Linked DNA regions of Callithrix jacchus. Each later gene encodes a partner of the first gene's protein in a complex. Links are inferred from orthologs where the notes say so. Each region holds a gene or a part of one and is shown on either strand. Other genes may lie near its edges. The genes, in order: CAMLG and GET1.

Region 1 (4,385 bases):
TCTGAATCCAGTGCCCTATGACCATAGGGTGTGGCATATTCCCACAGCTACTGTTTTTGTAGTCAGCCAGCCATTAGTAGGTACTTCAGCAGTTTTAAGATGCTGCTCTGGTATTGCTTTTTTTTTTTTAAGGGGGGGCTGGGCACAGTGACTCATACCTGTAATCCCAGCACTTTGGGAGGTCAAGGAGGGCAGCTCAGGTCAGAAGTTTAAGACCAGCCTGGCCAACATGGCAAAAACCTGTCTCTATTAAAAATACAAAAAAGGCCGGGCGCGGTGGCTCAAGCCTGTAATCCCAGCACTTTGGGAGGCCGAGGCGGGCAGATCACGAGGTCAAGAGATCGAGACCATCCAGGTCGACATGGTGAAATCCCGTCTCTACTAAAAATACAAAAAAATTAGCTGGTCATGGTGGCGCGTGCCTGTAATCCCAGCTACTCAGGAGGCTGAGGCAGGAGAATTGCCTGAACCCAGGAGGCGGAGGTTGTGAGCCGAGATCGCGCCATTGCACTCCAGCCTGGGTAACAAGAGCGAAACTCCGTCTCAAAAAAAAAAAAATACAAAAAATACAAAAAAATCTGCCAGGCGCGGTGGCTCATGCCGGTAATCCTAGCACTTTGGGAGGCCAAGGTGGGTGGATCACCTGAGGTCAGGAGTTCAAGACCAGCCTGGCCATCATGGTGAAATCCCATCTTAAAAAAAAAAAAAAAAAAATCAGTAGCTAGGATTATGTCTGTAGGCCCAGCTACTCAGGAGGCTGAGACAGAATTGCTTGAACCCAGGAGGTGCAGGTTGCAGTGAGCTGAGATCATGCCACTGCAGTCCAGCCTGGGTGACAGAGTGAGAGACCGTCTCAGAGAGGGGGGACAAAAAAAGTCCAGGCACAATGGCTCACTCCTGCAATCCTGTAATCTTGGCTTTTGGAAGTCAAGGCTGGTGGAATCACTTGAGCCCAGAAGTTCAAGACCAGCTTAGGCAACACAGTGAGACCCATCTCTACAAAAAAAAAAAAATATTTTTTAATTACCCAGGCATGCTGGCGTTCACCCGTGGTCCTAGCTACTCTGGAGGCTGAAGGAGCAGGATTGCTTAAGCCCAGGTTTGAGGCTGCAGTGAGTGAGCTATGATCATGCCACTGCATTCCAGCCTGGACTACAGAGGGAAACCCTGTCTCAAAAAACAAAACAACCTTTAAAGACACAAAATTTTCAAAGCAAAAGAACAAAATATAGGAAGTACTTCTCAGGTAAGATAATAAATAATGCTTCAAGAAAGAATACATAGCCTGATAGAAAAAAATGTTTCTTCTATTGTTCTAGAAGAATTTGAAATGGTTTTCTTACCTCTCATTTAAATCAACTAAAAGTTCAGGGCTATACACCCAAAGCCGTACAGAACAAAAGTCACAAAGATATAAGGAGCTTGCGACCAGTGACTAATGGCCAATTCCTAAAGAAAACAATGGAAACTTAGATAACACTAGGGCAACACACACGAAATAAAATTTTTTTAAGGAAAATCATTGGACATGTGTTTGGGGGAGGAATGAGGCGCTCTCCTTTAGAAATGTGTAGTTTGGGGCCGGGAGCGGTGGCTCATCGCCTATAATCCCAGCACTTTGGGTGGCTGAGGTGGATGGATCATGAGGTCAGGAGCTTGAGACCAGACTGGCCAATATGGTGAAACCCGGTCGCTACTAAGTATACAAAAAATTAGATGGGCGTGGTGACGTGTGCCCGTAGTCCCAGCTGCTCAGGAGGCTGAGGCAGGAGAATCGCTTGAACCTGGGAGGCAGAGGTTGCAGTAAGACGAGATTGAGCCAGAGCAAGACTCCATCCCCCCAAAAAAGCAAGCAAGCAAGAAAGAAATGCAGTTCCGGACACCAATCACACCAATCTCAGCTGATGAGGACAGGAAACCTCAGGTGTGCACGTCGCACTTGCTGGGTCTCTGAAGAATGCTCACTCTCACTTTTCCCACCTTTTCTAACCGGCCCATAAGTGATAGTGTTGAGGGCACCGAACACAGACACTAGGATATGACCACAAGAGTCCGTGATACACGTAGGACGGACTAGCGGGCAGTTCAGTAAAGACAAGCTGATGTAGGCAGACAAGAATTACACAGCAAAAGGCTAGAGAAGGCACCGTGAGGAAAAGCACTTGGAACCTTAAGAAGGAAGGCCACCTTCTTAAGGGGAGCAGCGGGCACAGCAGTCTGAGGATAAAACGTGCGCCCTTCAAGAAAGACGAGGGGTGGCTAAAGAAGAAAGGAGTTGTTGAAGGTAACTGGGCAGAGGGAGCCAGGGCTCTGCAGGCAGGGTGGGGAAAATCTCACGGCGAGGCCCCGGGAAAACTGAGGGGAGCGACCGGGAACGTCCTGGGGTTCAGGAGTGAGAACTTGGGATAATCACCGAAGGGGCGGGACAGACAGGAGGTCAGAGAGCAGGGCTTGGTCAAAAAGGTCAGCGGAGTGGTGGTGGGGAGGGAAGAATTACCCTGAAGATTTAAGGGGATGGGCGGGAGACTGAGGGGAAGCCGAGGCTCTCACCGGCGCCGCTCCCGGGCCTGTGAAAGCCCATGATCCGGTTGATGCGTTGTTCCGAGTTCATGAGCAGCTTTCTCCGACGCAGCTCGGCCCGACGCTGGGAAGCCGACAGGCCTGAGCCCGCTGGGACCCCTGGCCTGTCCCCATCGTCGGTAGCGACGGCTATCGACTCCATCCTCCCGTCCAGTCTGGGAGGGGTGACAGTGGCGGCGGTGTCGGCAGCAGCTGCGAGGCCGATGACTAGAGTCTGGGCCGCAGGGCGCGCGTACCCTCTCCCAAGATAGACCCGCCCCCGAGCGCGGTGCCCGAGCCTGAGAGCTAAGCACGCACGCGCCGCTTCGCGCTACCGAGCCCGAGGCGATGGCCGCCATCTTGAGTGAGGGCAGCGCGGCACGCCCTGGTCCCTCCCCGCCTCGTCCGGCCCTCACCCAACAACCCCCTCTGCTGTTCACTCGGTGGTGAAGAAAACAGGGACTCAGGGCTGGGCGCGGTGGCTCAGTCATGTAATGCCAGCATTTAGGGAAGCCGAGGCGGCGGATTACAAGGTCGGGAGTTCGAGACCAGCCTGGCCAACATGGTGAAACTCTGTCTCTACTTAAAATAAAAAAAAAAAAAATTGGCCAGGCGTGGTGGTGCGCGCCTATAATCCCAGCTTCTCGAGAGGCTGAGACAGGAGAATCGCTTGAATCTGGGAGGCAGAGGTCGCAGTGAGCCGAGATCACATCACTGCACTCCAGCCTGGGGCGACAGTGCGAGAATCTATCTCGAGAAAAAGAAAAGAAGAAAACCAACACCCTGCCGGAGGAGTGGGAAAGGGATGACAAAGACTAGACCAGCCTAGATTTGGTGCCGGAAAGTAAAATGGAGGTTGCAGCGGCCGCCTCTTGTTTACGGACCTGCAGACTCGCTTGTAGGCTATGGCAATACGTAACCCCAGGAGCCACGCTTAAAGGGAGCCTTGCGCTGGGTTTTGATCTTGGTGCCAGTTCTTCATCCTTGACTTCTCTACACCGTAGTATACAGCTGATGTGTTCCTAGGCGGTTCTCGCGTTTTTGTTCAAATCAGACTTTTCCAGCCTTTCGTCCCAAGCCTTTCAGGCTTGCTCAAATCAGACTTTCCCAGCCTTTTAGATAGATTACATTCTATCTAAATTGCCAACACTCCCCATTCCCCTTCTCCACCTTACTTTTTCTTCTTGTCATTTATGACCACCTAGCTTGCTAAAGATGCTAATTTTACTTATCCGATTCTCACTGACTAAAACGTAAGCTCCATGAACATAAGCATTGCATTTTCTTCACTGCTACACTTCGTGTCTAAACAGGCCTGAATTATTCAGTATGCACAGCTTTCAGGGCCCCCCATAGTCTGGGGAGGCTCACAAAAATGTTTTAATTTTAATTTGAAATCAGAAGAAGGCCGGGTGTGGTGGCTCACGCCTGTAATCCCAGCACTTTGGGAGGCCGAGGAAGGCAGATCACAAGGTCAGGAGTTTGAGACCAGCCTGACCAACATGGTGAAATCCTGTCTCTACTAAAAATATACAAAAATTAGCCAGGCATGGTGGTGCGGTTATAGTCTTCTGTAATCCTCCCAGAACACTGTGGCAGGAGAATCCCTTGAACCCAGTAGGCTAAGGTTGCAGTGAGCCAAGATTGCGCCACTGCACACTAGCCTGGGCAACAGGCTTAAAAAAAAAAAAAATTAGATGGCCGGGCGCTGTGGCTCATGCCTTTGATCATCATAACACTTTGGGAGGTGGAGGCGGGTGGATCACCTGAGATCAGGGGTTCAACACCAGCCTGGCCAACATGGTGAAATCCTGTCTCTACTAAAA
Region 2 (4,590 bases), on another chromosome or scaffold:
CTGTTGGCCAGGCACAGTGGCTCATGCCTATAATCCCAGTACTCTGGGAGCCCGAAGCCGGTGGATCACCTGAGGTCAGGAGTTCAAGACTAGCCTGGTCAGCATGGTGAAACCCCCTCTCTACTAAAAAAAAAACACAAAAATTAGCTGGGTGTGGTGGCACATGCAGGCAGAAGAATCGCTTGAACCCAGGACGCAGGGACTGCAGTGAGCCACAATCATACCATTGCACTCTAGCCTGGGCAACAGAGAGAAAACTCTTGTCTCTGTCTCTGTTTCTGTCTCTCTCTCTCTCTCTCTCTCTCTCTCTCTCTATATATATATATATATATATATATAAATAAAAGGAACTAACTCAACAACAAAATAACAAACAACTGGATTTCAAAAAGGGGCAAAAGATGTGACTAGACAGATCTCCAAAGATAAACAGATGGCCATAAGCATCTGAAAAGATACTCAACATCACTAACTATTAGGGAAATGCAAATCAAAACTAAAGTGAGATACCACCTTCCAGGCATTAGGATGACTAGTATATTAACAACAACAACGAAAAGGCTGGGTGTGGCGGCTCATGCCCGAAATCACAGCACTCTAGGAGGCTGAGATGGGCGGATCACCTGAGGTCAAGGAGTTCGAGACTAGCCTAGCCAATATGGCTCTCATCTCTACTAAACCCCATCTCTACTAAAAATACAAAAAAAGTTAGCTGGGTGTGGTGGCATGCACCAGTAATCCCAGCTACTTGGGAGGCTGAGATGGGAGAATTGCTTGAACTCGAGAGGCAGAGGTTGTGATAAGCCAAGATTGAGCCACTGCACTCCAGCCTGGATGACAGAATGAGACTCCATCTCAAAAGAAAAATAAAAAACTTTAAAAAATAAATAAATAAATAAGAAAACAAAATACATGTTGAAGGATGTGGAGCAACTGGAGCCCTTCTGCACTGCTGGTGGGAACGTGGAATGGTGTGGCTGCATGGAAAACAGTATGATGGTTTCTCAGAAAAATTAAACATGGACTCACCACAGATCCAGCAATTACACTTCTGGGTGTATGTCCAGAAAAACCGAAAGCAGAGACTCAAAGAGATGTGTGTAAACATTTTAGCATCATCTACAATAGTTAAAAGGCAGAAACACCCGAGTGTCCACAGAAGGATGAATGGATAAACGAAATGTGGCTTATACACACAATGAGATACTAGAGCCTTAAAGGGGAAGGGAATCATGACCAATGCTACAACACCGATGAACCTTAAGGCTGTTATGCTGACTGAAAGAGGCCAAACACAAAAGGAAAAATACTGTCTGATTCCCCATATATGAGGTCCCAAGAGTAGTGAAATTCATAGACAGAAAGTACAATGGCGGTTGTCAGGAGGAGGCAGGAATGGAAAGTGGTTGTTTAATGGGTACAAGAGTTTCAGAAGAGATGAAAAGCAGCCGGGCACGGTGGCTCACGCCTGTAATCCCAGCACTTTGGGAGGCCGAGGCGGGTGGATCACGAGGTCAACGGATCGAGACCATCCTGGTCAACATGGTGAAACCCCGTCTCTACTAATAATACAAAAAATTAGCTGGGCACGGTGGCGCGTGCCTGTAATCCCAGCTATTCAGGAGGCTGAGGCAGGAGAATTGCCTGAACCCAGGAGGCAGAGGTTGCAGTGAGCTGAGATGCCGCCATTGCACTCCAGCCTGGGTAACAAGAGCGAAACTCCGTCTCAAAAAAAAAAAAAAAAAGACTGCAGAGCATGAGGAAAGATTCTGAAGGAGGCTCAGGGGGTAAAAGAGAATTCCCTATATCTCGGAACAGTGCAGACAGTAAGACAATAGGGACAGTAAGAATAGTTTTGCACAAAACAAGCACTCGGTGAATACTGGTGGAATAAAACATACTCCACTACTACCGATTTATCTTAGGAAAGAAAAGCAAGAACTGTGTTCCAAGACAATTCTACAACGAATGCACCCAATCTTTGCGGTCTCAGTCTTTGCCCAACGGCTCCTCATTCCTGCTGTGGGCTACACAGTGCGCTCAATCCCAGGGACAGTTCCCAATGTGCCAACACCCCACCACGCCCCGTCCAATTTGCCACCAAATCCCTCTCCCTGCTCCAACAGGCAATCTAACCTCCACCACCAGTCACCAGGTGGATGATTCAGTGCAACTACTAAATTCTCTGAGCCAGACTCCTCCGGGAGGTAAAGGAGGATGCAATGATAATACTCTCCTCTCCCAGCAGCCGTGACACGGAGGAAATGTATTCACTGCCGGGGCAAAACGCCTGACAGAAAGAGGGTGCTCCCCAAGCTGGTTGCTCCCTTGGATACTGAAAGCATCACGCTGTGCTGAGATTCTCTCTGCACCTGTCTCCCACCCTACGCACCCCAAGAATGTGGCCTTCTGGACGCGAGGATCCATCTCTCCGGGACCTGAAACAGCTGACATCGCCCGCCAGGCTTCTGGGAAATCCTAGCCGGGGGCTGCTCCAATGCCTCTAGGGACCGGGATTAAAAGAAACGAGTGAGGCTGGTAGCGGGGCACTGGGCACTCCCAGTGTGAGATTCGCCGCCGCCACCCCCAGCCAGAAGATTCCTGCCACGTGAAAGCGTGGCCCAGGGTTACCGGGTGTTTCTCCTGCCAACCCCCTAGAACCCAGAGAGTCTGAAGATTACGAATTAGTAAACAGATTGGGGGTAAAGTTTCACCCCTTTTCGACGCTAGCAACTATCTCAAAAGAGTTTACAGACCAACCAAGACGCTGCTACGGGCTGAATCTGGCCTTCAGTCTGCCATTCGAGAACGCTGTACCTACGCCAGACCAGTCGGAGGACTCGGGCGGCGTCTCCACCGGCCCTTGGGAGGCCTGGCAACCACTTACGAAGGATGAGAAGGACGGGAGGAGGATCCTAAGAACATTGCACCCAAACACAAAACTGAGCACCAACAACCACGCCCAGTGGTCCGCCGCAGCTGAGCTCATCCCGAACGCTCCTGGCTGCGCAGGGTCCGCTACTGCAGCTCCATGGGGACTACGCCAGCGGCGGCGCCCACGCCTGCGCAGGGAAGCCCGGCGCCCCGGCACACGACCAGAGCGCCAACGCGCCTGCGCATTCCATCGCCCTCGCGGGAGGCGTGTTTTCCTCCGCAGCCGCCGGAGCAGTTAACGCGTTCCAGGCTCCTCCTGGGCCTTCAGGGCTTCCATAGCCATCTCGCACCCGCTACCCCCCGCCCCGCCTACTGAACCGGTTTTTCGAAGTCCGGGATTCTTTCTTTCCTTCTTTTTGAAATTAAAAACTTTCCCATAGTAGGAAACTCTGGTTTCAAGTGCGAACGGCTCCTTGCCTTTGTCATAATTAGCACTTCCTTTAAATTCACTTTTGATTCTAGGTAAGTTTAAGATAAATTCTTCCTTAAATAGAAAACTACCGTAATTATAGTTACCTGGTAACTGAAAATGAAATACGTGTTCTAAGCATTTATATGGAAAATGCCGTTTTCGTTCTAGAACTAAACACTGTAGTAAACTAACCAATTTACATAACTGCATACCTGAAAAATAAGTTGATTAGCATGCACTGTTGACAATCATGAGTAATAATAAAGTAACCTGAATCTAGCTGAAGATCAAGTTTTGCAGCAAAAGAATCCCAACTCAAATGTATGCATGGTGGATAAAGCAAGAGATGTTTAACTGTCTTTTCTGCCATGACTGGTTTCTGAGGACTAATTCCCAATCAAATTGATGCAAGATTACGGGGTGCGCTGGCTCAAGCCTGTAATCCCAGCACTTTGGGAGATCCAAGCAGGTAGATTACGGGCCCAGGAGTTTGAAACCAGTCTGGATAACATAGTGAGACTGCATCTCTACAGTAAAATATAAAAAATTTGCCAGGTACTGTGGCACGTGACTGTGGCCCCGCTACTAGGAAGGCTGAGATGAAAGGATCGCCTGAGCCCGGGGAAGTCAAGGTTGCAGTGAGCTGTGATCATACCACTGTGCTCCAGCCTAGACGACGGAGTACAACTCTGGCTCATTGTTATGAATCAGTGAAAAAAATTATGTGACCGGGCTTGGTGGCTCACGCCTGTAATCCCAGCACTTTGGGAAGCCAAGATTGGTGGATCACCTTAGGTCAGCGGTTCCAGACCAACTTGACCAACATGGCAAAACTCTGTCTCTACTAAAAACACAAACAGTAGCTGGGCGTGGCAGCAGGTGCCTGTAATCCCAGCTACTCAGGAGGCTGAGGCAGAAAAATCGCTTGAACTTGGGAGGCAGAGGTTGCAGTGAGCCGAGATCGCGCCACTGCACTCCAGCCTGGGCGACAGAGGGAGACTCCATCTCAAAAAAAAAAAGAACTACCCAAGACTGAGTAATTTGTAATGGAAAGAGGTTTAGTTGACTCACAGTTCCACATGGCCGGGAAGCCTTAGAAAATTTGCAATGATGGCAGAAGGCCAAAGAGAGGTAAACGTCTTGGGCGAGGCGGGGCAGTTAACATCACCATCACAAGAGATCTCACAAGATCTCTCTCAGATCTCGTGGGAACTCACTCACACTATCATGAGAACAGCATGAAA

Evidence for each region.
Region 2: CAMLG (region 1) and GET1 share a complex: the UniProt entries of both Homo sapiens proteins name them as parts of the golgi to ER traffic (GET) complex. The link is inferred for Callithrix jacchus from reciprocal best matches to the Homo sapiens genes CAMLG and GET1.

Annotation. Positions count from the first base shown.
Region 1 is NC_133503.1:33,145,776-33,150,160, reverse strand, and holds the start of CAMLG (guided entry of tail-anchored proteins factor CAMLG), read right to left. Parts: upstream 2,842-4,385; 5' UTR 2,723-2,841; coding exon 2,551-2,722; intron 1-2,550. UniProt on the Homo sapiens protein: Required for the post-translational delivery of tail-anchored (TA) proteins to the endoplasmic reticulum.
Region 2 is NC_133522.1:45,278,932-45,283,521, reverse strand, and holds the start of GET1 (guided entry of tail-anchored proteins factor 1), read right to left. Parts: upstream 3,069-4,590; 5' UTR 2,990-3,068; coding exon 2,822-2,989; exon of another isoform or gene 2,504-2,821; coding exon 2,393-2,503; exon of another isoform or gene 2,293-2,392; intron 1-2,292. UniProt on the Homo sapiens protein: Required for the post-translational delivery of tail-anchored (TA) proteins to the endoplasmic reticulum (ER).